Saccharomyces cerevisiae S288C: one gene and its partners. Changing the gene in region 4 together with the main gene of any one other region gives a genetic interaction. Each region holds a gene or a part of one and is shown on either strand. Other genes may lie near its edges. The genes, in order: COX3, ABD1, YGR054W and TIF1.

The links.
Region 1: of TIF1 (region 4) and COX3, extra expression of one rescues a mutant of the other (dosage rescue), as found in Saccharomyces cerevisiae (one study listed by BioGRID).
Region 2: mutations in TIF1 (region 4) and ABD1 together harm fitness more than expected from each alone (negative genetic interaction), as found in Saccharomyces cerevisiae (2 studies listed by BioGRID).
Region 3: mutations in TIF1 (region 4) and YGR054W together harm fitness more than expected from each alone (negative genetic interaction), as found in Saccharomyces cerevisiae (2 studies listed by BioGRID).

Annotation. Positions count from the first base shown.
Region 1 is NC_001224.1:75,539-83,637, forward strand, and holds COX3 (cytochrome c oxidase subunit 3), read left to right. Parts: upstream 1-3,674; coding exon 3,675-4,484; downstream 4,485-8,099. Other genes in the region: Q0255 (maturase-like protein), read left to right, coding at 1-84, 125-334, 366-446. UniProt on the Saccharomyces cerevisiae protein: Component of the cytochrome c oxidase, the last enzyme in the mitochondrial electron transport chain which drives oxidative phosphorylation.
Region 2 is NC_001134.8:686,792-695,248, forward strand, and holds ABD1 (mRNA (guanine-N7)-methyltransferase), read right to left. Parts: upstream 4,903-8,457; coding exon 3,592-4,902; downstream 1-3,591. Other genes in the region: VHC1 (Vhc1p), read left to right, coding at 110-3,472; DEAD-box RNA helicase PRP5, read left to right, coding at 5,178-7,727; YBR238C (uncharacterized protein), read right to left, coding at 8,316-8,457. UniProt on the Saccharomyces cerevisiae protein: Responsible for methylating the 5'-cap structure of mRNAs.
Region 3 is NC_001139.9:593,085-602,409, reverse strand, and holds YGR054W (translation initiation factor 2A), read right to left. Parts: upstream 5,718-9,325; coding exon 3,789-5,717; downstream 1-3,788. Other genes in the region: RSC subunit protein RSC1, read right to left, coding at 1-749; MUP1 (Mup1p), read right to left, coding at 1,269-2,993; MCO32 (Mco32p), read left to right, coding at 6,573-7,424; protein kinase FMP48, read right to left, coding at 7,705-8,814. UniProt on the Saccharomyces cerevisiae protein: Functions in the early steps of protein synthesis of a small number of specific mRNAs. Acts by directing the binding of methionyl-tRNAi to 40S ribosomal subunits.
Region 4 is NC_001143.9:553,052-561,570, reverse strand, and holds TIF1 (translation initiation factor eIF4A), read right to left. Parts: upstream 6,585-8,519; coding exon 5,397-6,584; downstream 1-5,396. Other genes in the region: rRNA-processing protein LAS1, read left to right, coding at 1-782; transcription factor TFIIE subunit TFA2, read right to left, coding at 919-1,905; mannosyltransferase KTR2, read right to left, coding at 2,617-3,894; UTP30 (Utp30p), read right to left, coding at 4,229-5,053; glycogenin glucosyltransferase GLG1, read right to left, coding at 6,951-8,519.

The DNA of each region.
Region 1 (8,099 bases), on a different chromosome or scaffold from region 4:
AATACACTTAAAGGTTCTAATTTATTAAAATTAATTAATAATAATATTAATAAAAAAAGATATTATTCTAATTATAATATTTCTCCTTTCGGGGTTCCGGCTCCCGTGGCCGGGCCCCGGAACTAAAAATATTATTGATGATGTATTAAATATAAATCTTATCTATAATTATAAATTACCATATCGTATAAATAGTGATATTCAACGTTTAAATTCTATAAATAATAATAATACTAAATTTATTAATGTTGGAGTATTTGTTTATGATTTAAATAATACATTAATTATAACATTTACTGGTTATAGACCAGCAGCTCTTTACTTTAATTGTTCTCCTTTTCGGGGTCCCGACTGGGGCCGGGACTAAACATGAAATTGCTAAATATATTAAAAATGGTAATGTATTTATAAATAAATATATTTTAAAAAATATTTTATTAGATTAATTATTATTTTTACTTCTTCTTAAAATTAAAAAAGGAGACTTTTTTATATTTATATAAATTATATATAAATTATTCTTTTATTATAAATATATAAAATTATTTTCTTTTAATTATTTTTATAATTAATTAATTCTTCATGGCTATAGCCATAACTTTTAATAATATTCTTTTATTCTTTATTATTATATATATATATATTTATTATTTATTATTATAGAATTTATATTTATAAAAATATTAATATTTTATTTAAAATAAATAATGATTAATTTATAAAATATATATTAATTAAGTTTCGGGTCCCGGCTACGGGACCCGGAACCCCCGAGAGGAGTTATTATATTTATAATTAAATCTTTAAATAATATATCTTAAATTATTATATTGATATTAATATTATATTGATATTAATATTAAATATATATTTAATATTTAGCTTATTATTTTATAAAATTATATTTATATATTATAATATAATTAAATATATTATAAATTTAATAATTTAATAAAAATATTCTTTTTATAATTATTATAATAATTAAATAAATAATAATAATAAGAATAATTAATGTATAATTTTTTTATAAATATTATATATTTTTATATTAATAGTTCCGGGGCCCGGCCACGGGAGCCGGAACCCCGAAAGGAGAAATATTAATAAAATAAAATAAAATTATAATATAATTAAATTATAAGAATTATATTTACTCCTTTTATAATTTATATTTATAATATAATATAATATAAAATAAATATAATATAATATAAAATAAATATAATGTAATAGGTATTCACTCCTCTTTGGGGTTCCGATCCCCCATACGGATACGGATACGGATACGAATACGGATACGGATACGGATACGGGGGGCCGTCCCCCAGAACTTAATATTATATCTTAAATAATTAATATAAATATAATATATTATTTAATAATAATAATAAATAAATAAATAAATAAATAAATAAATTAAATAAATAATAATATTATTATAATTACTTTTTAATAAATAATATTAATATAATATTATATTAGTATTATAAATAGACTTTTTATTATTTTATATATAATATAGTCCGGCCCGCCCCCGCGGGGCGGACCCCGAAGGAGTAATATATTATATAATTATTATTTTTAATTATAAATAAAATATAATTATTATTTATTATATAATTTATATAAATATATATATATATTTATTATATATATAAATATAAATATAAATATAATAATTAATAATATTAAAGTTTTATATATATTAATATATTATAAAAGGTTTATATATATATATAATAAGATAAGTAATAAATTAATTAATTAATAATATAAAAATATATATTATATATTATGTTTTATTTATATATATATATATATTATGTATTATTATATAAATATATATATATATTATATTATAAGTAATAATAAGTATTATATTATATATAGCTTTTATAGCTTAGTGGTAAAGCGATAAATTGAAGATTTATTTACATGTAGTTCGATTCTCATTAAGGGCAATAATAATAATATATTAATTAATAATTAATTTATAATAAATATATTATAATAATTAATATATATATATATAATATATTTAATACAAAGAAAATATATATTATATCTCTTATTTATTTATTTATTAATATTTTAATAAATATAATATTATAAAAAAAAGTTTATATATTTAGTTCCGGGGCCCGGCCACGGGAGCCGGAACCCCGGTAGGAGAAATATAAATATAAATATAAATATAATATAAGTTTGGTATTCATTTAATTATATTATTTAATTAAAAATATTCTAAATAAGAATAAATATCAATAAAGGAGTTATAAATATATATATATATTAATATATATATAAAAATATATATTATTATTAGTTCCCGCTTTGCGGGAACCCCGTAAGGAGTGAGGGACCCCATGGGAACCGAACCCCTATTTAAGAAGGAGTTTTATTATAATAAAATTTATATATATTTAATATATAATTATAAAAATATTATATAATAAATAATAAATAATTATTAATAATAAATAAATATAATAATAATATTATAATAAATTTATAAATGATTATAATAAATTTATATTAATTTTTTATTTTGTAAATACTAAGATTTGAACTTAGATAATATGCACCTAAAAACATACATTTTACCATTAAATTATATTTACCTTATTAATTATATAAAATTTATTAAATATATAATATATTAATTATATAAAAATTATTAAATAAATATATAATATATTATATATAATTTATAATATATATATTATAAATATTATTATATATAAAATATAATATACTACTTATAAAAATATATATATATATATAAATATATATATAAATAAATATTTTATATATTAAATTAAATAATTATTAATAAATTTAATTATAAAGTATAATTTTCAATAGGAATATTTATAAGATTATAATAATTATATGAATTATTATAATTATATATATATAAATAAATAAAATAATAATTATAATAATTAATAAGAGTTTTGGATATATATCTGTGGAGTATATATTTTATAAAGGAGATTAGCTTAATTGGTATAGCATTCGTTTTACACACGAAAGATTATAGGTTCGAACCCTATATTTCCTAAATCTAGATATAATATTATATCTATCTTAATATAATAATATTTATTTATTAAATAAAAAAAAAATAAATAATATTAATTAATATAAGATTCTTTTTTAATTATAATAATAAATAAATAAAAAGAAGATATTATCAATGATTTATATTAATAATAAATATAAATAATAAAAAATATATATAATATAATATAATAAATATATTTCCTTTAATATTAATAAATTAATAATAATAATAATAATAATAATAAAATATTTAAATAAATTATATTCAATACAAATTAATTATTTATATTATTAATAATTGAATAAATAATCCGGTCGAAAGAGATATTAATTCGATTATATTATTTATTTAATTATATTTAATTTAAATATATAAATTAATATATATATATTGAATTATATATAAATTTATTTTATAATTTTATAAATAATATATTATTATAAATATTTAATATAATTTATATTATTATTAAATAAAAGATTTATTAAATTAATATTATTATTTAATTTTATTATATAGTTTAAGGGATAATATTTTATTAATATTTTTTTTATTTATTTATTTAATTATATTATATATATAATATATATATAACAATAAATTTATGACACATTTAGAAAGAAGTAGACATCAACAACATCCATTTCATATGGTTATGCCTTCACCATGACCTATTGTAGTATCATTTGCATTATTATCATTAGCATTATCACTAGCATTAACAATGCATGGTTATATTGGTAATATGAATATGGTATATTTAGCATTATTTGTATTATTAACAAGTTCTATTTTATGATTTAGAGATATTGTAGCTGAAGCTACATATTTAGGTGATCATACTATAGCAGTAAGAAAAGGTATTAATTTAGGTTTCTTAATGTTTGTATTATCTGAAGTATTAATCTTTGCTGGTTTATTCTGAGCTTATTTCCATTCAGCTATGAGTCCTGATGTACTATTAGGTGCATGTTGACCACCCGTAGGTATTGAAGCTGTACAACCTACCGAATTACCTTTATTAAATACTATTATCTTATTATCTTCTGGTGCTACTGTAACTTATAGTCATCATGCCTTAATCGCAGGTAATAGAAATAAAGCCTTATCAGGTTTATTAATTACATTCTGATTAATTGTTATTTTTGTTACTTGTCAATATATTGAATATACTAATGCTGCATTCACTATCTCTGATGGTGTTTATGGTTCAGTATTCTATGCTGGTACAGGATTACATTTCTTACATATGGTAATGTTAGCAGCTATGTTAGGTGTTAATTATTGAAGAATGAGAAATTATCATTTAACAGCTGGACATCATGTTGGATATGAAACAACTATTATTTATCTACATGTTTTAGATGTTATCTGATTATTTTTATACGTAGTCTTCTACTGATGAGGAGTCTAAGGCTATAGAATTATATATCTAAATGATTAATATATATATTATTAATAATTAACAATAATTAATATATTATAATTTATATATATATATTTTATATTATTATAATAATATTCTTACAAATATAATTATTATATATTATTCCTTCAAAACTCCTAACGGGGTTCCCGCGAAGCGGGAACTAATAATAATATAATCATTATACTCTTTTTTCATTTACCTTTTATAAAGATAATTAATAAATTTATTTAATATTTATAAAAAAAAAAATATAATATTAATATAATATAATATAATAATGTAATTATTTATATTTTTATATTCCTTCGAGGTCACCGCCTCACCTCCAGCGGGACTTTTTTAATATGATATAATATAATATAAATATTATTAATTTAACTAATATATAAATTCATATATATATATATATTATTAATATTATTTTATAAAAAATATTTTTTATTTGATTATTATTAAATATTATATAGTTCCGGGGCCCGGCCACGGGAGCCGGAACCCCGAAAGGAGAAATATTAATATATTATAAATATACTATTTATGTAATTATTTTTTGAAGTGAGCACCTATTTTATATATATTTTATATATATTTTATTATATTTTATTAAAAATAGGTGTGAACCTCCATGAGAGAGGAATGAATACCTATTTTATAAAGTATATTTTATATTCTATATATTATAAATATGAACCAAAAAAAGGAGTTTAAAATTTAATTAAATTTAATTAATTGAATTTCTTTATTATTATTATCATAATTATTAAACCCTTTATTAATATAATAATATATTATTTATTATCAAAATACCTACCCTTTTTATAATTTATATCTTTAATAATATAATTAAATATAAAATGTTTATTAAATATTATATAAAAATAAAAATAAAAATATATATATATATATAAATGATAAATAATAAGGAATTCACACTTATATAAATTTAAATATAAAGTCCCAAAAGAAGTATTCATTAAATAAATTATCATTAATTAATTATAATAAACTTATTTAATATTATTAAAGATTAATTTATAATAATAATTATTATTATTATTATTAATATTAATAAAATATATAAATAATTAAATAGTTCATATATTAAAAAGAATTAGAATTAAACTTTAATAAGTGTATTTAATATATAGAATATTAATAGAATATTTATTCTATTTATATATATATTTATATATATATATATTAAATAATATTATTTATATTATATTTTATATATATATTATTAATATAAAAAGTATATTATATGTATTATATATATTATATATTATATATTTAATAATATATTACTCCTTTGGGGTGGGTCCGCCCCACGGGGCGGGCCGGACTATTATAATTAATAATTTTATAAAGTTCCGGGGCCCGGCCACGGGAGCCGGAACCCCGAAAGGAGAATAAATAATTATATATCTTCTTCTTAATTAAATTAAATTAAATTAAATTAAATTAAATTAAATTAAATTAAAAAGGGGTTCGGTCCCCCTCCCTAACGGGAGGGGGTCCCTCACTCATTCAAACTATAATTTAATATATTATGATATTATTTATAATTTATAATATAATGTATAATATTATATTATAAATATTATATAAAAATAAAATGATATATATAATAATAATAATAATAATAATAAAAAAATAGAAAAGAATAATTTTTATTATTTTAGTATATATAAGAATTTAATAAGTTATATTATTGCGGACACCGTTACGCGGAGTGGGGACTATTATATTTTACCTATATATATTAATATTATTATAATTTCCTTCTTTAAAAGAAAAAAGGAATTCGAGAACTTATTATTATATTAATATATTAATAATAAATAATAATAAATAATAAAAAAGTAAATAATTATAAATTATATAAAAATATAATTTTATTATTAAGAAAGGAGTTTAAATATAAAATATAATATTATCATTAAGTTCTAATAAAGGTATATAATGAAGATCTATTAGAACCTAAAAAGAATATTAATATATCTATTATAAAATAATAATAATAAATATAAATATAAAAATAAATTGTAATATTTATAAATAATAATAAAAAATAAATAAGGAATATATTAATTATTAATAATAAATAAATTATATTAAAATATAATATTATTATTAAATTAAAGAATTATATTAAATATATTTATTAAAATTTTATAAATAAGTTAATATTTTATTAAATAATATTTATAAATAATAAAAAAAAATAAGTATATAATTATTAATATATTAATTTATTATGTTATATATTTATATATTTCAAATATATAAGTAATAGGGGGAGGGGGTGGGTGATAATAACCAGAATATTAAATAAATACAGAGCACACATTTGTTAATATTTAATAATATAATCAATAAATATATTATAATAATATAATATAATTAATAATAGATATAAAGTATAAACAATATAATAAATTATATAAAATAAATATAAATTAAAAATAATAACCAAATAATTAATATAATAAATGATAAACAAGAAGATATCCGGGTCCCAATAATAATTATTATTGAAAATAATAATTGGGACCCCCACAATAGAATAAAAAATAAAAAGAATTAATAATATATAAATAATATAAAATATATTATATATATATATAATATATATATATATATAATAAAAAAAAATATATAATATAATATATATATATAAAATAATAAATTATATATATATATATAAAATAATAAAAAATAATAATCATATGAATTTTATAAATATAATTATTATTAATAATAATAATAATAATAATAAAGTCCGGTCCGCCCCGCGGAGGGGGCGGACCCCCGAAGGAGTGCGGGACCCCGTGGGAACCGCATCCCTTTTTATTCTTAATTAAGAAGGAGATAATAATTTATAAAAATTAATATTTATTTTATGTAATATTAATATTAATATTAATATAATATAATATAATATAATACGGATTAAATATTACCAGTTGTTCACAGGTAATATAAAATCCTATTGTTTCACCTATTATTAATTAATAGTTCCGGGGCCCGGCCACGGGAGCCGGAACCCCGAAAGGAGAATAAGTATATATAATAAAATTTAATAAAAAAAAATAATTATATAATAAATATATATATTATAATATTATATAAATATAAAATATAATTGATATTAACATTATATAATTAATAATATAATCAAATAATATAAATATAATATAAAAAGTTTTAATTATTAAAATTATATAAATATTATTTAATAAAAATAAAAATAATAATAATAATAATAATAATAAAGTCCGGTCCGCCCCCTCCGCGGAGGGGGCGGACCCCGAAAGAGTGAGGGACCCCCCCGTATACTTACGGGGGGAGAACCGAACCCCTTTTTTTATTTAAAGAAGGAGATAAATATTTATATCTTTATTTATAATTATATATAAATAAAAGTTTATTAAAATTTATAATAATAATATAAAAAAGTATATAATAAATTTATTATAAATAAATAAATATTTAGTAATAATATTTAATAAAATTATAAATATTATAAATAAAATATTAATAATAAATAATAAATATATAATATAATATAATATAATAAATTAATAACAATAAGATATC
Region 2 (8,457 bases), on a different chromosome or scaffold from region 4:
GAGTAACAAGGAAATCTAAGAAATGGTTGTGCTTGTTGTCGAAGAAGTGATAGAGACAGTGTTTTTGCCAGCCAATTCTCTTTAAGAATAGGCCTTTCTTGTAGGATTAATGGTTAGTAGGTTTTATCAGATTCCAGGTACGCATCGGCCATCGTCGGCAATATCTTCTTCAAATGAATCTTCTTCACTGTTGTCTGCAAGGAGAATAAGTCAAACATATTTCAATTATCAGGCGACCCCTGAATGCCAAAAAGTTTCCTCTAAGTATGATCCTGATAACCCAAACAAAGATAAGTTGGGAACATACGATGGGGTATTTGTGCCTACTGCTTTAAACGTATTGTCTATCCTTATGTTTCTTCGTTTTGGCTTCATTTTGGGTCAGTTAGGTATTATATGCACCATCGGTCTTCTGCTATTGAGTTACACTATTAATCTTCTCACCACGTTAAGTATATCTGCTATATCTACAAACGGGACTGTTAGGGGCGGGGGTGCTTATTATATGATTTCAAGAAGTTTAGGACCTGAATTTGGTGGATCCATTGGGCTTGTCTTTTTCTTAGGGCAGGTGTTCAATGCAGGTATGAACGCAGTGGGTATTATCGAACCTTTACTCTATAACTTGGGTTATTCTGCTCAAGGCGAGCCACCTGCAGCTTTGGGAGAGCTACTACCAAGAGGGCATTGGCACGAATTTACATATGCCACGGTCATTCTTTTCTTATGTTTTTCTGTGGCTTTTGTTGGCTCGCAAACAGTGTCAAGAGCAGGGAATATTCTTTTTTTGGTACTGGCAGCTTCTATATTTTCCATTCCACTTTCTGCATTGATAAGATCGCCATTCACTGAAGGCGGTATCAGTTATACAGGTCCTTCATGGCAAACTTTTCATGATAACCTGCTCCCTCACTTAACAAAAGGTGCAGCAGGTTCGTTACTCAAAGGTAAGGAAACATTCAATGATTTATTTGGCGTTTTTTTTCCTGCTACAGCTGGTATATTCGCGGGCGCAGGAATGTCAAGTGAATTGAGAAAGCCCTCTAAATCAATTCCTAAGGGTACCTTATGGGGTTTACTTTTCACTTTTATCTGTTATGCCGTTGTTGTCTTCTCCATGGGTTGTTCCATTCCCAGAAGATCGTTATATGATGAAGTACAAATTATACAGACGATCAGTTCCGTTCAGTGGGTTATATTCATGGGTGAAATGGCTACTTCTCTTTTCTCCATCATAGTGGGGATGCTCGGTGCTGCTTATGTATTAGAAGCAATTGCAAAGGATAACATTATTCCTGGTTTGGAGATTTTTGCTCATTCACCGTTATATTCATTGATTTTTACTTGGATTCTAACACAGCTATGTTTGTTTTCAGACGTCAATAAAATCGCCACATTTATCACAATGACATTCTTAATGACGTTTGTGGTCATGAATTTGGCGTGCTTCCTATTAGGTATTTCCTCTGCTCCCAATTTCAGGCCCTCTTTCAAATACTTTAACAGGTATACTACAGCAATTGGCGCATTACTTTCTGTTGTTGCGATGTTAATAGTTGATGGCATCTCAGCGTCTGTCTTGTTTTTGGCTATGATTTTGCTATTTTTATTCATTCATTATTTTTCACCACCGAAGTCTTGGGGTGATGTGTCTCAAAGTTTAATATATCATCAAGTGAGAAAGTATTTGCTTCGCCTACGTCAAGACAATATTAAATACTGGAGGCCTCAAATATTGCTGTTTGTAGATAATCCAAGGACGAGCTGGAACTTAATAAGGTTTTGCAATCATTTGAAAAAAGGTGGTTTGTATATTTTAGGCCATGTTGCAGTAACTGCGGATTTTCCGAAGCAACTAAATGAATTAAAAACTCAGCAGAAAGCTTGGATGAAGATCAGAGACATGGCAGCAATAAAGGCTTTTGTCCAAGTTGGGACTGGTCCCTCCCTTATATGGGGAATTAGGAATGTTTTTATTGGTTCCGGGCTTGGAGGTATGAAACCAAACATTACTGTTGTCGGTTTTTTTGACCTCGAAAGTTATAGAAAGCACATCCCACAAAGTCGCAGCCAAAATAACCTTCAGAAACAGGTGGAAATAAAAGCTACAGTGCCACGTAGTACATGCTCTGATGTCAAAATCAATGTTCCATTGCCTACGGATGAGTGTAAAAATGAAACCAAAGTTAATGTACAACAATGGGTTCAAATTGTAGAAGATCTATCACTGATGCAATCCAATATTGCCATAGCGCATGGATTCAAAAATTTAGAGATACCGAACAAAAGGGACAGCTGCTTTCCAAAAAAAACTATAGATCTTTATCCCATCCAAATGTGCGGAAAAGTTGAGGCAAAGGGTGACCAGCCTGCGGCTATCACTACTAACTTTGATACGTATACACTGATTCTACAATTAGCTGCCATTTTGGTTACTGTTCCTGAATGGAAGCGCACACATTCGCTTCGAGTTATTTTATTTGTGGAACAAGAATATCATAGAACGAACGAAACTCAACGAATGAAAAAGCTATTACAGGTTCTAAGAATTGACGCAGAGGTTTTGGTAGTATCTTTAGATCAATTCAGAGTATACAACACAATTGTCAAGGGAGACCCAATCGTGTTTGATTATGTCAACTCGAAATTGGCCGATAATGAATGGTGGAAAGATTTGGTTGAAGCTCGTGATACATTAAAACCGAAGCGGAGGTTTTCCACTATTGAACCTCAAACGATAGCAAAGCAATTTACACAATCAAGAAAATATACGTCTGGGGTTCAGAAATTGGGTGTCTCATTTACAATGAATACGAGAATGCCAACTAACCGCATTGATACCCCATGCGAGAGTGAGGACTCCGATTTGGATACAGATCTTACGTCAATTCGTGATGCCTTCTCGGCATCGACTAATATTTCAGTAGGTAAGGACTTAACGACCAAATCGAAGACCGGTTCCGACAGAACAAATTTACTCGTAAAGAATTTACAAAGCGATGTGTCAACACAGTCGTTAAGACCCGTTTTCTCGAGTAATACTTTGCCGAGGACGAGAGTCGTGGAAGATGGCACGGGTGAACAGCCGACACTGATCCCAATTGCCGAACCTGACCTTTCGAATGGGAACGGTACTGGGAGCGGTATTGGCAACGGCAACAAATTAAAGAAACCGGTTCTTCCCGAATTATCACCTTGTTGTTCAAAAGATAGTTTAGTCACAGCGATGCAAAATTTAGGTTTCAATGATCTTCCCAGCACTGCTCAACATTTGGTTCTGAATGATGTGATGACACAAATGTCAAAGAGTTCGGATTTAATTTTTTCAACCTTGCCAGTTCCAGCTCTTGGAACACATGAAGATCACGATGCAAGTTTACAATATGTCGAGGACTTGGATATTTGGTTGGAGGGCTTACCTCCATGCATGTTAATCAATTCGCAAACCATGACAGTAACTACTGCATTATAGAATAACACATATATCGTTATGCATTTCCCCAGAACTTATTTACTACATATAGAAGTCTTGTAATACGGCCGAAATACAGATGCTTTATAGTAGGGTTATTGTTTCTATTCATTTTTATTTCAGTTGGGCTTTACGCTTTCCGGTTCGATATACTGTTTTACCTTACGGAATGCAAACATGGTATAGAAATATGATGCCGCTTCCTTTTCATCCCCTTCAACACCATATCTACCATCAGATCTTTGTAAACCTTCCCTCATTTTAGGCGAAAACCTCTCAATCCATTTGGGAATTTCTTGGACAAAAAATTTATTAAAAGGCATTTGCGATACTAGTTCCAAACCGTATTCATCAGCCAAACTTCTTAAGGTTTCGAATGGCACAACATATTCAGGAACATTATCTATAGCATCTTCTAGCCAATAAGTATACATTTGACCATAAGGCGATGTGAACTCATAATCATTCTTTTGGTATGAATTATTCTCAAATGTCACTTTATAAATGGAGTTTCCCCAAGATGGCTTTTCCACTTCTTTGGGAAATTTATTCAGTTTATAACGAATGAATTCTGAATCTGGTATCGTGCCAAAAAAGTGACCACCAATTTTGAGTGATTTGGCGACATTCAGTAAAGCTCTCCTTGCTTTTTCTTCGGTCTCAAAAGCATAATGCAAGCAAAATTGCGTCGAAACGATATCACACGGAAATCTACAGTCTGGGAAGGGCTCTACTGCAACACCTAATGATTCGCCAAAGCAATCCCCAGTAATTAGCACAACTTGGTAGTCCAAATTTCTCATGGACCGGTATCTCTTATGAGCTTCTTGGATAGAGGCATTGGAAATGTCAATACCAATAAACTGTGAAATACCTGCAGCACCATATTTTCTTAAATCACCACCTTTGCCACATCCGAGTTCTAAAACGACATCTCCAGGTTTTGTATATTTGTCAATTAACATATACTTAATCGCATTGTTAAAATTACGAAGCTTAATAATAGGCGATAGATTCCTCTTAGCGCGATTGGCGATTATTGTACGTTCATTATAGTGCTCTCGGACAATCTGGTCAACATTTATGGATCTATTTGCAGTCATCTCTATTTCATGTCTCTTTAGTTGCTCTTCTCTCAATTTTTGAGCACGCTGTTTGCGTAATCTTTCCTCTTGATCATACCTTTCATGTCTTCTCTTTTGGATTTTAAACCCGGATTCTGCCTCAATGGGTAGATCAGACACCTTAGAAGTAAGGATAGAGCTGCTTTGCAAAACTGGTAATGATCCATTACCATCACCAGGCGCATTGGCAGTAACTTTGGAGTCTTTTTTTGAGACTGTGGACGATTCATCACCAGTAATTGAGCCGTACTGACGGTCATAGTCTTCTTGTGACATCCATATTGGCTTCTCTGGTTTGGTTGACATTCTACTTTTCTAAGACGGATAATGGACGACTCCACGTTGTAGTAGTTGTCACATTAATCGGAAAAGTGTCTCACATGTAAAGGATTAAAATAAGAAATCTTCTAATTTATGTTGAAATATCTTGATTTACCATTACCCGGATTAGATGAAACTAATTAAAGTCATTTAGAGCAATGGACCAAACTAAAGGTATTAGAGTTCTTTCTAATATAATACAGCGCCAAATAATTCGAGAAGGGAAATCATAACGCTGTTGCCTTGGGTTTATTTGAGGTATGGAAACTATTGATTCGAAGCAAAATATTAATAGGGAGTCTTTATTGGAGGAAAGGAGGAAAAAACTAGCAAAATGGAAACAAAAAAAAGCACAATTTGATGCTCAGAAAGAGCATCAAACTTCACGCAATGACATTGTTACTAACAGTTTAGAAGGTAAGCAGACTACTGAAAAGTTTACGGAAAGACAGGAACGTGTAAAAGAAGAGCTTCGGAAGAGAAAAAATGAATTTAGGAAATCTGACGAACCTGTATCGGTTAAGCCTTCGAAGAAAAAGTCGAAGAGAAGTAAGGTAAAGAAGAAAATATCCTTCGACTTCAGTGATGACGATGATTCTGAAATAGGAGTTTCTTTTAGATCGAAGGAGCACATTCAAAAAGCTCCAGAGCATGATAATGAAAAAGATCCACTGGATGAGTTTATGACGTCATTGAAGGAGGAGAAAATGAGTAATAGTAAAGGCATGTACGACAGAGGCGACATTCTTGATGTAGAGGATCAATTGTTTGAACTTGGAGGAACCGACGATGAGGATGTTGAAGATAATACGGATAATTCTAATATAGCGAAAATTGCTAAACTCAAAGCAAAAAAACGTGTAAAGCAAATTTATTACTCTCCAGAAGAGCTTGAGCCGTTCCAAAAAAATTTTTATATAGAATCTGAAACAGTTTCCTCGATGTCAGAGATGGAAGTTGAGGAGCTTAGACTTAGTCTGGATAATATCAAAATAAAGGGAACAGGTTGCCCCAAACCAGTCACAAAGTGGTCTCAACTGGGACTATCAACGGACACCATGGTTTTAATTACAGAAAAGTTGCACTTTGGCTCCTTAACGCCTATTCAATCCCAGGCTCTTCCCGCTATTATGTCAGGTCGTGATGTTATAGGAATATCAAAAACTGGCTCCGGCAAGACCATCTCCTATCTTTTACCATTGCTAAGACAAGTAAAAGCTCAACGGCCATTATCAAAACATGAAACAGGGCCCATGGGTTTAATTCTGGCTCCAACTAGAGAGCTAGCTTTACAAATACATGAAGAAGTTACTAAATTCACAGAAGCAGATACATCCATTAGATCAGTATGCTGTACAGGAGGTTCTGAAATGAAAAAGCAGATTACTGATCTTAAAAGAGGCACTGAGATTGTTGTTGCCACACCGGGACGATTTATTGATATATTAACACTAAATGATGGGAAATTACTTAGTACTAAAAGAATAACGTTCGTAGTAATGGATGAGGCAGACAGGCTGTTCGATTTAGGTTTTGAACCTCAAATAACGCAAATCATGAAAACTGTTCGACCGGATAAACAGTGTGTTCTATTTAGTGCAACTTTTCCGAACAAACTACGCAGTTTTGCCGTAAGAGTTTTGCATTCCCCAATATCTATTACGATTAATTCAAAGGGAATGGTTAATGAAAACGTAAAACAAAAGTTTAGAATATGCCATTCAGAAGATGAAAAATTTGACAATCTGGTGCAGCTTATCCATGAGCGCAGTGAATTTTTTGACGAGGTTCAAAGTGAAAATGACGGACAGTCAAGCGATGTTGAAGAAGTTGATGCTAAAGCCATTATATTTGTATCAAGTCAGAATATTTGCGACTTCATTTCAAAAAAGCTGTTAAATGCTGGAATTGTGACCTGTGCTATTCATGCAGGTAAGCCATATCAAGAAAGGCTTATGAACTTAGAAAAGTTCAAACGAGAAAAGAACAGTATTCTTCTCTGTACAGAGGTTCTCTCAAGAGGTTTAAATGTTCCCGAAGTGTCGTTGGTTATTATCTATAACGCCGTCAAAACTTTCGCGCAATATGTTCATACTACTGGAAGAACTGCCAGAGGTAGTCGCTCCGGTACTGCTATTACTCTTCTATTGCATGATGAACTGTCAGGTGCTTATATCTTGAGCAAGGCAATGCGCGATGAAGAAATAAAAGCTTTAGACCCTCTGCAAGCAAAAGAACTTCAGGAAATGAGTGCCAAGTTTGAATCCGGTATGAAAAAGGGTAAGTTTAGGTTGTCGAAAGGGTTCGGCGGCAAAGGACTGGAAAATATCAAAAGTAAAAGAGAGGAAGCTCAAAATAAAGATTTGGAGCTCAAAAAGAATGATAAGAGGAGCGATGACTTGGAAAAGAAAATCAGCAATCCACGCGAAGGGCATGACAGTGTGTCTGAGTCTTCTGCGCTTATTCCGAGACTCAATTATGAACTATTCAAAGAGTCTACAGACGGGTCGATCATCTTTTACGCCAAGGTTTATATTAATGATTTACCCCAGATTGTAAGATGGGAGGCTACAAAGAATACAACCTTATTATTTATCAAGCATGAAACCGGATGTAGTATTACTAACAAGGGTAAATTTTACCCTGAAGGGAAGGAACCAAAGAATGAAAACGATGAGCCTAAACTATACTTATTGATCGAAGGCCAAGATGAGAAAGACATACAATTAAGTATAGAATTGCTGGAGCAAAAAGTTAAAGAGGGGGTCGTAAAGGCTGCAAGCTTGTCTTTGAAGAGTACTAAATACTAGTTTTTAGAATTTAACTCACTCGTGGTGCTATATACTTTCGTAGTTAGTTCTGAAATTTTTAGGGTGGTAATTTAAAGCATATTCAATCATAATAAAAAAAAAAAAAGAGAATTATTAGGAAAAATAAAAACAAAATAATATATAATATATGATGTAGAAAAAAATCTTGAAATTTTTATCGATTCGAATAAAATGGAATTTAAAAAAGTGGGAAAGAAACAATGAGAATTCATAGGATATAATGAAAGGTAAATGCTTTAAAAAAAAATTAAGAGGGGAAAATAAAAGTAGAAAAGCAAATAAAAACAAAACATGGAATAAAAGTAACTTCAAAAAAATTTATCAAGAAAATGGTAGGCTTGAAGAATATAATAATAGTTTTTTAGTTGATTTGAGATGTGATATGACAAATAAAAAATAATGAAATAACGATAAAAATAAGGAAGGGAAAAACTGACAATCGAATAATAATATTAATAATGGTAAGTTTATCACATCAATTCATAGGGAATATAAATTTGAAATTGTTACTCTTCTTTCTTTTTTTGTTCTGTAGAGAAAGAAGGTGAAAAGTGAAGGATATTAACTTTAAACACACGTTGGCTTCAAATTATGTAATTCAGGAATAGGAATATCGTTAACGATTAAAGTTTGGAATTGGTTCAAAACTTCTTGCAAAACGGAATATTTGACAGCGGTCCCTGTTGTTAATCTGGCTAGTTGTCTGGAA
Region 3 (9,325 bases), on a different chromosome or scaffold from region 4:
CTTCTCATCATCTTCAAGATATTCTTAATCCTCAGTACATAGGGTAGATCAATTACTGGTGGTCTACCGCGTCTAACATGGGTTTTGGGATGCGCCGAGGTAATATTTGCATAGTTAACAACTGGAGTAGGTGAAGCCAGCGGCTGCGGTGTTATAGAAGCAGAATGGGTTGGAAACGCTGGTGAGTTTTTTTGTTGCATCCTGTAATCTTGGTTGGTTGGTTTCCTTTCAGTGATCGAACTATCTAGTTTTGCGAAAGCCATTTTCATCTCTGGATTTAAGCCAGCCTTTTCATCATTTTCCTGTGTATTAATGGGGTTCGAGGATAAATCGGAGGGTTGCATACTCTCTGCGAATATTTCCGGAATTCGACCTAGAGATGGATATGTCACCTCGGGATAATGTTTTCTTATATTGTGCACGATCTTTCCTTTAATAAAAGACTCAAGAAGAATGGCATATTTGTAAATTACTGAATCTTTTGCATTGTATGTCATTGCATTCCAAGGAATTTGCGCAAAATCGTTAACAAAATCTTGTGGCGATGTATAATGGGGCAATCGTTTCTTTAAAGTGTTTAAAGATATCGGATTCCTTATTATAATGTAATAGTCTGGATATTCTTTTTTAGGTGGCAGTACATTGAATATTGGATATATTTCTATACCATTTTCATCCTTTAAATGGAAGACAGCATCGTATTGTGTTTTGAGTAGCTTCTGTAAAAACCCATTATCTTGCTCCACCATGCTTGAAATATAATTTTTTTTATCTCTGTTTTGTAGCTAGGGCACTTCACAGATTTTCCCTTCGCTAATACCACACTGTTCCGCCAACTCAGCTTAATTTCAGTTGTAACTCAATTGGGCCTTTGATTAATAAAAAAAAAAGCTTTCCCGAGACAACAATCACTATTGACGGAAAGAGGGTAAGGGAGCAATAAAGAACTATATAAAACGTTAGACAAACGATTTTATAGAGCGCTTATCTGTGTTTATAGCGTTGCTGATAGATTTAGTTAATTCCAATTTGAATCTATCTCATCAGCAATTCATGATATTGCTTTTTCTTAGTATGCTATTTTGATTTCGCGCAATAGTAGGTATAAAAATTGAAAAAATACGAAACGGAATAGCATCTTAAACTATTAAATGGCAGAAATTATAATGAGGTTTGGTACCTATATATTTTGTATAAAGAAAATGCAATTATAAGAATGTTCATACGTGATTATAAGAATCGAGATGAGATGGTAAGTACCTTTTTGGTTACAGCGATTTTTCTTGTTCACTTTTGTAATGTTCGATTATATTCGTTTCAATAACGCCGTCTTCTTGTGTATCGACATCGCCAATAGTGTCATCATAAACTTTGGCAATTTTGACTCTCCAGAACCCATCTTCACCAAGCACATCCTTGGAAACCAATTTGTAGTGGCCCCATCTTGGCAATAATTGGGCCCAAACAACGTAGTAAACACCACCAAAGAAGAAAATACCCCAAGCAATTACACAGTGGATCCAGTATGGCATGCTTGAATACACCGACTCGCCATTTGAAGGTGGAACGTAAGGAGCAATAATCAGGTATAAATTGGATAATGTGAAAAATCCCGTAACAAAAACACCGGCCTTAATTGGTGGGTTCCATTCAATTTTACCTTGTCTACGTTGCCAGTATATCCAAAGCAAACCCGCGCTAATGGCAAAATTAATAATATTCATTGGGTAGGAAATTAAATTTTGGACTAGCAAATATGCATCACCTGGAGGTGGGGCTAAAATGGTTACTGTACAAACAATAAAATGTTGAAACAAACCAACCATTGGGGAGTTGAATGGCTTAGAAGAGGCAAAGAAATTAGAAAAGGGCAACACACCTTCACGTCCTAGTTGTTGAATAATTCTACCCTGAGAAAAAATGACAGAAAGAACATTTCCTAAGGCACTCAACCCGACCAGTGCGGCTGCTGCTCTCTTGGCTTGGCCGCCAAACACAATATCGAAGAAGTCAGCAGCTAAAATCAATTTTGAAGAAATTAACTTATCTTTTGGAACCACAGCGAAGTAAGCAATGTTCACAAAAATGTAGATTATAGCCAAGAAGACCATCGATGTAGGACCAGCAATCTTCAAAGTTCTCACAGGGTTCTTAACTTCACCAAGTGCATAGTTAACATTGGAGTAACCGACAAACGACCAAATAACACTATATAAGGCGTTAACAATACCATAAGCAGTGGCGGTTTCAGTACCTTCAAAAGCATTACGAAAGTTGTGAGATTGATAACCATCTTTGAGACCACCGCCAAGGGCAACCCAACCGGTAATAGAAATGAAGAGGACAATACCAATCTTGAAAATACCTAAAATGTTTTGCAAATATAGACCAATCTTGACATTCAGAGAATTAATTAGGAATGCAAAAAAAACGACGGCCACACCAATACCTCTTTGATTCCATTTGGTCACTTCAGTATCAGCAGCAGTTAAAAACATAATAGCTGTATTGATGGAATTACCAGCAGCCCAACCTAGGAAGAAAATATACGCAGCATACATACAGGTAATGAAGAATTTTGGTTTCCTGAAAATAGCCTCCAGGTAGTTTTTTTCACCACCATTTTTCGGTATAGCCGTACCGAATTCCATGTATACATATAACCCAGAAATGGCAATAATGGCGCCAACTGCCCACATAATTAATGCAAGCCCCACAGACCCACATAGTGTGTAAATGGTCGAGGAAACGGCGAAAACACCGGTACCAAGCATTCTATTACAGATAAGCCCAATACACGACAAAATACCTAACTGCTTTTCACCTTGGTCCAATTCTGTAGCAAATTGCTGGCCTGCCTCAAAATCGGAGGCACCGTTGTCAGCATCCACTGTCGAGTTACTTACTTCCTTTTTTGTAGTAGAAGAAGAAAATTGATAGTTCTCCTTGTTGAAGACATTCAACTGTGACAGAAACGTTCTTCCTTCCGACATTGCTCCGCCTTTGTTTTCTCTTCTCTTGTCTTTAAAGATTTCTACAGAATGTGAAACTAATCCAAAAACAAAATATGATGAACAGCGGAAAAGTTTGTGTGAGAATCATCCTTATATATATATACTGTATGTAATCTTACATCACCATATGAAAATAACGGGCTGACTCAAGAAATTCACCGCCAAGTAGGAGGAACCACATTTGTAATGCAAGACTGTGTTATGTGTTACCATGGTGTGCAATAACTGCGAAGGTAGCACCGCTTGAGTCAACTGTGGCAGTTTATTAGATGCCACTCGAGTGTGGTGAACGGCAATTCCACAGTCTAACTTTTCAGTTGGCGCCGTGCCATCTCCTGGCTGCTAGGCCGATCTGTTATACAAAACCCTACACGGCGCCGTTTCTTTTTTTTTTTTCTTTTTCTGTGGCAAAGCGGCGACAGCGACGCTAAAAAAAACTGTGGTGGCGGATGCAGCGCCGGCTTACGGAGCCGAAGTGACACTCCATATTCATTTATTGCCTGGCGGTATCGTGGCATACATTGTAAGATGCGGCTGGTGGCAATCCGCCAAGAAGAGACGTAAAAATAAGGAAAATGCTCACTAATTATGTATGTATCAATTACTATTTGATGTTAAAAAAATATGTGGAAAAGTACAATAAAACAAGGGAAAAAAAGAAAGGGGGGAGGTTGGCGTAATTCTCCTGGGAAACAGTAAAAAACAATTCAAAGTAGTATTATTTGACGTTGTTAATATTTACACAGTTGTATGGATACATCAGTTTCTTCTAGTTTATTCATCCTTCCAACCCAACTTTTCCAAATCTTTCAACACTTTTTCTTCAGTTTGAATTTTTAGAACTTGCGTATCTTCTAGTTTGTCACCGACGGCCTGTCTTTCCTTCAAGGTTTCAATAGCCCTTAATTTCTTTAGTAAAGATCTTATTTTCTTCTCCTCTGGAGAAGTTTCTTTATTGTTTGTGGGGGCATTTGTGGAGGCAGGAGCAGATGGGGCCGGAGTAGAATCAGGTGACGTTTCACTTGACTTTTTATTGGCTCTTCTTCTCCTGTTCTTGGTGTTGGCGTCCTTGTTGGCACTCATGCCCGGAACTAGCCCTGGGATGGTCTTCTTTGCTGCACCAGGAGGAACTCCGGGGACAATACGTCCACCGCCTGTTCTTCTTGCGTGAGGTGGTTTATAAGCGCCTCCAGCTTTGGCCTTAGATCCGTTTCCATTGGAGCTTGCTTCTCTGCTTGGGTGTTGACTTATGTACTCTTGAACGCTAGAATGTATTTGCAATTCTGATTTATTGGATATTTTAGGATCAAGTGAAGATGTGGTCGAATCAGGTAGCGGTTCCCAGTTATTAATGATATGGTTCTCGAAAAATGCTTCGTCTTTGTTTTCCAAAGTTTTGTAATTACATGGTGACCTCCAGTCTACCTTCAAAAGCTCCTTGAACTCTTTAACAAATACTAAAGAGCCTGATACATGCCATATTTTAACGCCGTTATCCACTCTCAATCTTGGTGAAGTGGTAGCTGTCATGATAAATTCTCCACCCGGTGACCATTTGCAGACAGAAGTGTTGGTAGCGTCAAATTTACTCACACACTTGAATTTGTCGAGACGATCTAGGATTTCCACGGAGCCCTGTAAATTACCAAACCCGGCGATAAGAATGTAATGACCAGAGGGAGAGAAAAGCATGGTATTTTTGGCTTGTTGAGGTAATGAATGGACAACATTACCTCTTAAGTCAAAAAAGGAAATGGTTGCTGGCATGTAACCAGCGATGACACCGAATTGCCTTGAAGTTGGCGACCAAGTGAAATCGTGGACAGGTCCAGTGGTTAAAGAAACACGTACAGAGTTACCACCCAAAGTCCCGTTGACACCTTGGAAAGACAGTAAGTATAGTGTGTTTTCACCATAATATGATTTGTTTGAGGAATCAAAATCAGTAATAGCTAAACATAAAATAGCATTACCTAATGGATTCCATTTCAATTGGCAGGAATCAGCTTTAAAGAAAGTTTTGGAGGCAATTTTCTTGGTGATTTTACCTTCAGAGAGGGCCCATATGATTAATTGAGCCGGTTTACCACCCTTTTCTGGTGTGAAAGTACAAATTGTTGGATGTTCAGCTGGAGAGATTAGGTAGGTGGTGAAATGTTGGGACGTTTCATCATCAGACAAGACAGCAAACGGAGATTGGAAGTCGAAATTGTCGGCATTAGCGGAGCTTAATTTAACAATCTTCAAGTCGTGTTTAAAAAGTCTTAGCCCATAATTGTCTAATTTGGAGAATTGTAAAAACCAACCGCTTTGGGATTTGGCTTGATATTCGTAAGCAGGGACTATATCCTCCGAAACGCAATCTTTCTTAAATGGTTTATTCAAATACCAAACTTTAACGTTCTTGTGATTTGGGTCTTGTATAGACGCTCTCTCCCAAGTGCTTAAGTAGTTACCTGCTGGAGAGAAGTGTAGGTCATAGACGTCGGACAACTTCATTGTTAATAGAACGTTATCCAAACATGGACCTGTAAAAACTTTGACGTTCTCCTTCGTAGATAAAGCCAAAAATCTGCCACATGGCGATAAAACCGAGGAAATGACAGGGAAATCCTTGGAGTTTGTGTTGGATTGCTCAAAAGTTGGGTAGCTTTGGAAGAGCTCTATATCCTGAGAGGTTTTCAGGAAAAACTGAGATGACATAATGTTTAGGTGTTATTGAACCTGACTGTTTGTTGTAGTACTATGTTTTTTTATCGAGATGCAATGGATAGTTTAAACACAACACGTCTCAATCAACACTAAAGAAAGTTATGATTCGGTAATCTATAGGTTGCTTCTACCGTAAAGAATTCTCGCTATGTCTAGTCGTCTGGATAGATCGAGGAAAAGGAATCTTCATTGAATAACGTACACTGAAAATAAATCGCTATGAAGCTGAAATTTCATTGATGGACATGAAGAAAGCGAAGTGAAAAAAAGGAAGAAAAAGAAAGTATTGAGGAACATTCTGCGGTCGGGTAATAATATCGTACAGTATGACAGCGGCAATTTTTAATAATATTTCTGCTCACTAATAAAGTAAAGAATATAAAGAAAGGACCTTAATCTAAGATAGATGTTACTTTTTCATCTTGCAGTTTTAACACATAGAACCGAGTCTAAACATATTGAAATATTTCGATTTCTTTTGTACGAGTGCTATAAAAATGGGAAAGAACTAAAAAAAATAGGACACAACATTAACTGCCTGAGTTTCTTGAGGAAAATATTAAAAGAAATATTAGTTAAATAAATAGATTTGGTGAGATGTATTTCTATACACTGAAAGACATTCATACGCATCTCATGATGAGTCGAGCGCCTTGCGTTAAGAAGGCGCGTAGTTACGGTTACGAAAAAAATGAATAGAATACAATGTAGAGAGCGCCCTTAAAAGGCCCATAAAGAGGGATGACAGGTATGAGCCATAAAGCTGCAAGCCTCTACGGAAAACGATACATCACAACCAAGGAAAGATAGACAGTTTATATTCATAGATAATAGGGGGAAAGACTTATGTTACTAAAGTGTGTTTGCAGAGCCGGCATAATATCTATCAAAGGAATCTTTCCTCGATGGTACTCCAATTCTCAAAAAGTGGCCAATTTGGGGCAAATAACAGATTATTTAGTGGTTAAAGGTGTTCCCAATTTGTTACAAAAAATGTTCAAGGAGTCAGTGTTGGCGGATAACGTTGTTTTTAGACTATTTCCAACATCGCATCCATATATTCCAGTGTTACATGGAAAATCAAAATACATGGCTTCTTTGAATGCAATGCGAATGATAGTACGAAAGTTTATCTTGGGCGATGAATGTCGCTTGCATATAAGTTCAGTAAAGACTCTAACATCGACATCGCATGATGAAGAAGTTAAATCTGCTCTTCAGAGTTATAATACCATAACATGTAATGACAAATTGGTGATCAAATGGCAAAGCTGCATACCGGAAGACCATTGCAAGATTACCAAATTAGAAATTAATGACAGATTGAAAGAGGAGAAACGAGGCAATGGTGCAGGCGGTTCATTTTCAATGAGGTCGGTACCAGTCATAGACTACATTTTACATCCTACAGCCAATAATTTGAACCAAAGTGTTATCTCTGAGTACCTTGAAAATGCAGCTGAAAGGTCAATGGAAAATAAGGTCAACGAAACTCAAAATTCCAAAGAAGATGAGAAGAAGAAAAATGATGGCGACGGTAAAAGAAGTAAAAAAAAGAGATTATCCCGGCTGATTAAGGGAACATTCATATTCGAATTTAACGAAGAAAATTCGAAAATTCTGGTTCATACCATTGAAGATGTTGAACTGATCCATTACGAGAAGAAAATTGCCACTCGCGGTGCATTTGCATGTTAATACGATATACAAGAATTAGATAGCATCTTTATTTGTAAATAATAAACACACCATCATAAACATCACCATCAACCTTGCACAGGAGAAAAAAGGAATAAAAAGGATAAATTGATTATGATTATTTTTTAAAAAAATGAATATGTAATATTATTTTATGTCGATTAGGTAGTATGTAATACTGAAATTATGCCAAAGTTCCTAACTAAAATTGGATAAGCAGGGGATAAAAAGTCAGATCAAGGAAAATGAGGCGAAACTTTCAAAAGGTCTTTTTTACTTCTTATTTTCCATCTTGAATTAGGCAAGGTTTCTCAAAATTTTTCAATTGGAACTTTGCTGGTACTGTTTCCGTGTTCACAGACCACTGTTCCCAAAACAGATCAATCTTATTTTGGTACGAGAAGCAGCTGTCCATCGAGCTATCTTTGTTCCATGCAGAATCAACTTCATTGATGAAATTCTCCATCGACCTCTCTTTAGCGTTCGATACCTTTAATAAGGTATCAACCATAATCTTGCACAAATGGAAGACATCATAAATGTCGGGTAGATCTTGCCATATGTACTGCCTCGTATGCTGCAGGCTAACGTGTAGGTCTTCTTCATCATTGTAACCACAGGAGAGCCTTGGTACTACGTATTTCCTGTAAATGAATGCAAATGGATCTTTTTCAAACTCATCGAAATTTTTTAGATGCTGAACCTTCTTTGATTTGGAGACTCTAAAAAGGCAATCGCCGAACATCAGATAAAATATGGTGGCACCCAATGACCAATAGTCAGCTTGGTATGTGTTATACAATGGAGCCGATGACCGATCGAAATTCTTCTTAAAACAAGAGTTACTAACGCGGCCAGAGAAAGTTTCTGGCGCCCTGTAATTATCGGTACCAATCTGGAAGTCGTTAGATTTAGGGGATTGGATAGCGTGACCCCAGTCTGCCAACTTGATGTCACCATTTATCGTTAGCAAAATATTTTCTGGTTTGATATCACGATGAGCAATACCCAAGCTGTGAGCAAAGCTGATTGCTGAGCACAGTTGTTTGATTATCTTTTGCATATCAATTTGAATCAAAGATGGAGACGACGGGCTACCTTGACTCTTAGCAATATCTAGAAAGTCATAAAGATCACCACATTCGCAGTATTCTAGCACCATGATGTAGTACGAGTCATCCGTGTAAAAGTCGAGCATCGAACAGATGTTGGGGTGAGGATTACAAGAACTCAAAATCTTCATTACATCATACTCGTTCTTCATGTTGGCTTCTGAAGTTTTGTATTTAGGAGTAATCTTTAAAGCGACGTAGCGGTTATGTGTAGTACTCCATGCTTTATAAACTGTGCTAAATGTTCCTGATTGTATAGATCTTAGTTTTGTATACATTTTTGCTTTTTATTATTCGGTATATGCTGATAATGATGTGCTTATTTAAATGATTGCGTATACGAGTGAGAATTTGATTCGGAGGGTATGAGAGTCGATCTTGAGTCCTATGTTATATGCTTTTTGTCAGTAACGGGTTATTTAATGCTAAGAATAGTTATTATAAAAGGGAAATTTTTTTGTATTAAGAATAGTCATCACTTACATGTGTATATTATATATATATATATATATGTATTGTACTCGTATTATTATTCTTTGGGGAAAGTATTAGTAGGTAGATGCAACTAAGCTCCGATTTTTCCAAAATTAAGTTGTCCCTTATTGCATGGTCCCCTTAATTATCCTTCCTTTATTGTATGTAACATGAAGCTGCATTTTTGTTCTCAGGCAGCATCATCGTTCCCTTCACCTAACCCTTCTAACTTCCTTTTACCTGTTGCAAGCTGTCTCATACCCGCGCTGAAAAGGCTGAGAACTGGGTATTGTCCCAATATTACGCTCGGCTTTT
Region 4 (8,519 bases):
AAAGTTCACACGCAAGTTCATCAGAAACTATGATCAGGGAAAATTTGCGTCAATGGCAAGAACTTTGGAAATTATCCATTTATCACAATGTGGTTCTTGAGAAATTTTTTAACAATTATGACCCACTTTTACTCAAAGTTTTAATGCTTAATTTGAACAATTTTGATTGGAAGGTCATTGAGTGGGTAGCTAGGAATTACAGAACCCAACAAGATGATAGTAATATAACGACAATTTTAAAAAGGAAATTCAATGCCTGGAAAGAACTACAAAAAAGGCTGTTAGATGTTATTATAAATAACCTTAACAATAAAAATTTTAAAAATAAATGGCAAAATTGGGAGAAACTTATTGATGAAAATGCGTCATACTTGATATTGTATTTTTGCCAATCTATGCTGGCCAAACTAGAGACTGAAAAAATTACTGGTAACTCATGGAGAAACAAAAAACGGAGAAAACAAATTGATAGCACAGTGGAAATCGAGGCAAAACTGAAGGAAAACATAGACAATTTATCATTAAGGTTTAATGAAGGTGAAATAAAGCTGTATGATTTTATTCCTGCGGAAAAAGATTCCGTTCCATTGAAGAAGGAAGTGAGTCCGGCATTAAAGGCTGATACCAATGATATACTAGGCGATTTGGCGTCTTTGAAACAGAGAATGAGCAGTTTCGGAACAGTAGGTAAAAAAAATAAACAAGAGGAGAACAGAGCTACACCAGTAAAAAATTGGTCAAGGGTTCAAAATTGGAAACCCAAACCCTTTGGTGTCCTGTAACCTGTTTCCAATGCTCGTTATAAATACGTTGTAGACTATAAAGCTGAGTTGTATGCTGCACCCTAACGTGCATGTATATATAATCACAGTCTCTTTAACCTAATATGCAAACGAAAATGATTTAATCAAAACAACCTCATACTCTATGGGAATAATCTTTCAAGATACCGGTCATATGAGTGTTAGTAATCTTACCCTTTCTTTGTCTCTTCTTTTTAACTTCAACTCTCTTTGTTTGTCTTTTGATAGTAGCAGGATCGACACTAGCAGGCTTTAGACCTAAATCTTGCAGCTTTCTTGGCAATTCTGCAAATTGCGGTAATTGCACATTTTCCCACATTTTAACAAACTCCTCGTCAATACATTTCAAGTTACCACCGCTGTTATACCAAACGTATCTTGGAGTTTTATCCTTTTTAGTTCTTAACACCAAAATTTTGCTGTCTTCCTCCAGTTGGTTAATCGTTTCATCGCATTGTGGCCAACCGTCTTTCAAGTCTTTGCAGGAAATACCTTTGAATGTTACTTGTGAACGTAACAACTTCAGCAGTTCCGAAGGGGAATGGACATCGTAGGTGGAAAGGTATTTGAAAGTCCCCTTCTTGGGGTCAAACTCTATTCTATCTAATTTTTTTAAAAGCTCAATAACCTTGTCATCTTTTTTCATTGACAAGTAGTCCAATAACTCATTCACCAAAACGGGCTTACCTTTCTTTTGAATGTATTCAGTCGCCCAAAGCAACTTTGAAGAATCGTGACTCTTGGAAATATCTGTTTGATTTGCTTGTAAAGCGGCTGCAGCAATAGAGCCAGGCCTTACTTTTTTTGAAGGAGAGCTACCAAAATCTTCGTCGTCATCGTCGTCATCTAATGAAATAGCATTAGAGCTATTGCTCCCAGCTTCTTTCTTGATATCCACTAACACAGGATTTTTCGCAGAGTTCAAAGTGTTTTCTTGCGCACGTTCGGAGGCCGTCCTCTTCCTAGTGTTTCCATCTATAGTAATCACTGTGTCATTGGTCTTCTTCTGTCCAACTTTAGCGGGTGCGATCACCGGGGCAGACTTCACTTTGCTTTTGAAAGCGTTCAAATTAGCCAGTAGAGGGTCCCTGTTTTTACTCATCGCAAAAGACTACTCTCTTTTCCAAATCGAACGAACTACTTGGTATAAAACAGTTCTGTGTAACAGCTTTCTCGTGTTCTACAGAGCACACGGTTATGTAACTAGTTCACTTCTTATTAGCTCTTTTGCCCTGATTCGTAAGTGAACTTCTTACCCGAAGTAAGCTCGCGCTTTTCTTTTTCTTCTCGCATATAACATTTTGACTATAAAAGCCGTGAACTATAGCATTTGCTACCAGAAAGAATTTTTCTTGCCCTGGACCTTTGATGCTTTAAAAAACATTTCTCTTAAAAGAAAGCATAACAATTTGTGATGCTTTAGGGAGCCTATTGTTTGATGGTTTATAGGAGCCGGATTTGTCTTTTTGACTAATTTTCAACCTATTCTTACTTCCAAAACTGTTGCAATGGCTCTCGTTTTTTTTAAATTTTTCTCTTTTCTCTTCTTTGGCATAGTTTATTTTTAATAAATTATTTCAGGGTGAGATAGAGAAAGGATAATGAGTATCGTAGATAAATCTTCGGTTCCGAATAGTGTAACTGTTGGTGCTGAGGTAATCCATCTTTAAAACCATCGCCGTTAGAGGTTGCTTCTGATATTTTCGGTTAAGCGACCCATGAAATGGTGATGACCTGAGGTATGGAACATCTTTCTTGATGGTTACTTTGTTATATATACGTATTTATAGTATGCGGATACACGCTTTTCTCGCTATGAATCGTGTTTGAGGAAGTATTTACCGCTGCCGTCCTTCCACCATCTTCTCAGGCAGCTGATGACATTGAGATCAATATTGTCTGGGTGATTGCTATCACAAAGACATCTTTGTTGAAGTCTCAGGTAGTATGCAGATGGACACGTGCCAAAAGGCATATGCTTATAGCCTAATTCATCAAAATGGATGATTTCGTCTTTTTTCAAAAGAAGTGAGGCAGCAATCGAATGAACTGGTGCATCTCCCCACCTTTCATAGTAAAAACCGCCCTTTGAATCCAAGTACTCGAAAAATCTAATGTATTTCTCACTTCTGAAAAAGTTCAAATCGCCAATTTCAAAATTTGTCCAAAAATGACATAAATTATAGCCGCTGTTACTATCGATGACACCAAAAGATTTACCGATGAAGTCGAAATTTGATACGAACCCGAAAGCGTTGCTTTCCATGTCAATATCTGCTGACTCTGTTTCTTCGAGATATTCTTCTACAGCTTCCCATAGGCTCGGAATTGTATCTTCGTATTCATACATAGTTATCACAAAGCCATATTTCTTATTGTTCTGCCTCATCACCTTGAATGGATCGTAGGGAAAATCGCAAAAATACTCTACATCTGGCTCAACTCTGAAATAAAAATCGTACGGATCTAATATCTTTTGTCTAAAGAAAAATCCAGAATTAAATCGGCACATATTTCTATATGACTTTGACCCACCGTACAAGATATTTTTTTCCTCCATTAATTGTAAAGCCTCTTCAAATAGAGTTTCGTTGATCCAAGATGGCCTGTTCCAGTCCTCCGCAGGGATTAAAGCGTATTGCGTTCTACCACTAGCCATGGCTGTGGTGGCTTCGATGAACTCTTGATCAAATGGGACATCATTAAGAAATGTCCAGTCATACTGGTAGTTTTTATTGAAACGGTCTTCTAGTGATCTCATGGAACGGAGTGCCCCCGAAAGTTCCCAATTACGCACAAGCATTAACAATGTAGCATTTTCTCTTTGATTTTTTATTCCCTTGGTCTTGTTTAGTGGTTCATCATTATAAGTGTTGCTAGATAGCTTCAGCGTCTGATTCATATGTCGCCTCCTTGTAAAATCATATCTCGATGAAACTTCTCGAGATCTTCTAAAAAAATACGAATCTAGGCTCAGCTGTCTCTGATATGGTACAAGTGCAAGCCAACATGTTTGAGCTATCAAGCAAAATAGAAGACTAACAAAAAGTAGTTTTTTAACCTGTGTAAGAAATACCTTGCAGATTTGCATGAAGCTCCTACGCTTTTAAATAAACAACTATTGTATAGAAAAAACGCAAAAAAAGCGTTGCATGTATAGGTGTCACATACCTGAAGAGATATAAAGAATCAAGAATATCATCAGACAGGCAAATGGTGGCTTATTATGTTTATTCTATTTTTATAGGGTGTCTGTTCTTTTTTTTTTCTTTTTTTTTTTCGCTTACTAAATTTCTATAATCTTGCAAATTCTTGAAAGGAATTAAAGTTTAAAACACTTTATTAATGCTATAATTAGTTAGACAAAATCACGCTTTTTCATTGGGAGTGTTTAAATACCGTATTTAAAAGATGATGCTTTAATTTTACAATTTAATATCACTCAGATCTTCATTTTTCTGATTTTCTCTAGCCTCTGAAAACTGATATATAGGCAAACTAGTACTGTTACTGGTCTTGACAAATATAGATATTATTCCTCCTTTAATGACGCCGCCTTGCGGTCTCTTACTTTTATCAGTGAGAAAGTTTATTGTATCTTGGATGTTTTGCAAAATTTCTGGTATGGAGTGTTTTTGAATATAACCGACCCTGACGCTTAAGCAGTTGTCATTATTGGGAATGTATGAGGTATTCTTACATATACTTCTCAATTGTGCTCTCACGTAAATGGGGTCACATTTTTCGACCATTTGTTGACGCTTCAATTTTACTTCTTTCGACATGCGGATCATGTATGGCAATTTTTTACTACCGTGATAAAATCTGCTACCAAGAACCTCCGGAAGTAAGTGGTGAACTCTGTAATCGGCAACGACCAAGTCAAAATCTTTATAAAGTTGGGTCAGTTTACTCCCTTTGAATCTACGTCTCAAGTTCTTGACACTTATAATTTCCTTGAATAATTCCGACGTATGCTCGTCTTTCGTCAAAGTTTCTCTATACAAGGCAGAGGGATCCTTGGTAATGAGTAATATGTTTAGGTCCCTTGGTTTAAATAGCTTGTACTTTGTTAATGGAATAATACGGGGGATGTTGTCCCTGTTTATGCCCATTTTTTTGCCCGTGTTGATGATTATGTGTATGTCCTTATCATTTTTTAAAGATGGGTTCTCTTCACATTGTAAAATTAGAGCCTTTAGTGCTTTCTCTGCCAGCCCACTTTTTATAATATCATTTGACTCAACCATCCCAAACCTCGAGATATAGCGTTTGATGTACACTTTTTCTTTTCAGCTCCAATCTCTATTAGTAGGGCATCGATTTTTTTTTTTTTCCTTTTATATATATTATTTTTTATAAATTTGAAAAATTTCAGATAGATACGTTCGGATATATACAAAAAGACAAAGCAAACAATTAGTATAGGGTATTTCAACCTTCGTGCCGAGAGTCTTTTGGACTTTGAAGAATAATAGGAATGTAAAAAGAAAAACAAATTAAATACAAAAAGCATATATAACTTTTTAGAAATATATGTTACGTTATCAAGATAGCCTCACAAGATACTTTTTTAAGAAGTTTTTGTCTCCCTTAGTTCAACAAAGTAGCGATGTCGGATGGCAATTCTTCAATTTGAGTGGAGTAGAACTTTTCTAGTTCTCTCATAGCGCCAACGTCTTCGTTAGTAACAAAGTTGATGGCAACACCCTTTCTACCGAAACGACCACCTCTACCGATTCTGTGAATATAGTTTTCTTTGTTAGCTGGTAAGTCGTAGTTAATAACCAAAGAAACTTGTTGGACATCGATACCTCTAGCCAACAAATCAGTGGAGATCAAAATTCTGGAAGAACCACTTCTGAATTCCTTCATGATGGTGTCTCTTTCTTGTTGTGGTAAATCAGAGTAGATGGCAGAAACGGTAAATTTGTCGTTTCTTAACTTAGTGGTCAATTCTTCGACCTTTCTTCTGGTGTTACAGAAGATGACAGCTTGAGTAACGGAGATAGAGTCGTATAAATCGGTCAAACACTCGTATTTGTATTCTTCTTCTTCAACATTAACGTAGAATTGTTTGATACCTTCCAAAGTCAATTCATCCTTCTTAACCAAAATTCTAACTGGGTTTCTCATAAATTTGGTGGTAACTTCCAAGACGTCATTTGGCATGGTGGCGGACAATAGAACAACTTGAGTGGTTGGTGGAAGTAAGGTGAAAATTTGGTAGATTTGTTCCTTGAAACCAGAAGACAACATTTCATCAGCTTCATCTAAGATGAACATCTTGATCTTGTCAGTTCTGAATCTACGTCTTTGGATGTTGTCAAAAACACGACCTGGAGTACCAACGACGATTTGAGCATCTCTCAAACCTTCAGCGTCTTCAACAAAGGAAGTACCACCGATACAAGCGTGGACCTTGATGTCCATGTGGAAAGCCAAAGCCATGACAACCTTTTGGATTTGCAAAGCCAATTCTCTAGTTGGAGCCAACATCAAAGCTTGAGGAGCCTTGACAGAGGTGTCAATTCTTTGCAAAGCAGCAATGGAAAAGGTACCGGTCTTACCAGTACCAGATTGAGCTTGAGCCAAGACATCGTGACCTTCAATAATAGGCATGATGGCACGTTGTTGAATGGCAGATGGTTCTTCGAAACCGTAACCGAAAACACCTCTTAACAAGTTTTCGTCCAATTCCATATCATCGAACTTGTAGACAACCTTGTCATAGTTGGTTTGAATTTGGGATTCTTCAATATCAGTAATACCTTCAGACATCTTGTATATAATTAGAAGGAGGCCGTTTAACGAATTTGTTATAAAATAAGAAAAGAAAAGACTAGAGACCAAATAAAAAATCTACAAATGTCAGGGCTGCGTATATTCATACCTTTGTTCTGTGATGTTAGCTCAAGTTCTTAGCACATCATTCAATAGACGAGGTGAGAATGCAAAAATTTTTCAGTCACTATAAACGTTGTGAGGTGAGAAAAGATAAACAGCAAGCATCGGATGTTGTTGCTGATAAACCTTTAAAGTAAATTTCGAGTTTGAATGTATATAGAATAGTTATGCATTTTTGTATAGTCGAAAAGGTCTTTACATAGATATGTCTTTTAATTTTCCTAATATGTGCGTGGAAGTTTACTCTACTGCATACTCAAAAATATCATCAGGGAAACACCTCTCTACTTTGGATAGATAATCAGAGTCCTCCCAGTCAAATTTGAAGTTGGGCATTTCTTGTTGCGGTTGGTTGGTTTCCTCTGCTGTAAGTTTCATATCCTCCTGTTTATCTGCAACTGCACTCGTCTTCGTTTCTCCTTCGGTAGCATCTCTTGCATCGTCATCAAAAAATTCTTCTTCGTTATCGATTGCATTTGACTCGTACACGTCCGGAAGAAATTCTTCATAACCTTCCTTGTCTTTTTCTAAGTACTGTATATTGTCATCAACAGAGGTATGTGGTTCTACGTCGTCTGGTAAGTCATTAGTAGAAACACTTGGTTTTTGTATATTGTCAGTTGACCTTTTCTGTTCTGGATTTGAAGGGCTAGATTCGACACTGATATTATTTTCTTTAGAATTGCTAAAATTTTTGCCATCTGGTTGATTACTTACATTGTTATTGGAAGAAGCGGCCGTGCTTATATCATCGAGGTGGCTTTCTTCTCCAGAATTTGAAGCGTTATCTGTCGTACTATCCTCCTCTTCTGCATTTTGGTGCTCATCGCTATCAGCTTGAGTACTCACAACGCTATAAGAGCTGTTTAGTTCCTGAGTACTATTTGGAGGACTTTCTTGGTCGCGGTTTGAACTGCTATTGATTATATTGTTATCATTCTCTTTCGAATATTCTCTGCTTTCATTTACTGGCTGATTAGTCAAGTGATCTTTGTTAATAAAGGTTGTTAACCACTTGGTAAAATCCAATGGGACAGGGTTAGGAGCAGGGCTATGATCCGAGTTAGGAACAGGCTCGGCGTTCTGGTTGTCCACGTTTTCTTCCACTGTACTAATTGTGTCGATCTCTTGATTCGTAGTGGGTTCGTTCGATGGAGGGGCATCCACTGGGGTTATCGTTTCAGGAGTCTCAGTTTTATCGGAATCACTAATCTTTGGCTTCGAAACTTCGTTATTTAATTGATGTTCTTCCTTAAATTCCTCGTATACCTCATTCCATTGATCATGATACTCGTTTTTAATGAAATTCTTTTGGGACCACAATGACCATGGCTTGTGTTTCCCAATGAAATGAATCAACTTAATGCTAGGTTTAAAGTAATTCATAGCAGGTGAAGATTGGTAGCCTAAATTAGGAATAGTTACGTTATACGTAAATGATAACTGTACCCATTCTCGAGAGAAACTGTCTTTAACTAGCTCATCAGTGCAACAATTTTGATTGAAGAACTGGTTTAAAATGCCCTGGTCAGAACCATCAATTGAAGTGTTTTCAAAAATATAATTTTGTAAAACGGATGCAGTATCAGCATCCGGTATTAGCATCATGACACCGCTATTGAACATATCAGGCCAGCCGATATCAGCAATAGCACCCACTTGTGACGTGGTTTGTTTAGACATAATGTCAAACAACTTTAAAAATTCTTTATTCAGAGGTAAAGTGTCGGAATCCAAGTAAAGAACTTGTTCGAACTGAGTTAATTCCCATAGTCTTGCTTTGATTAAGGCAAAGGATAATTCAGGTCT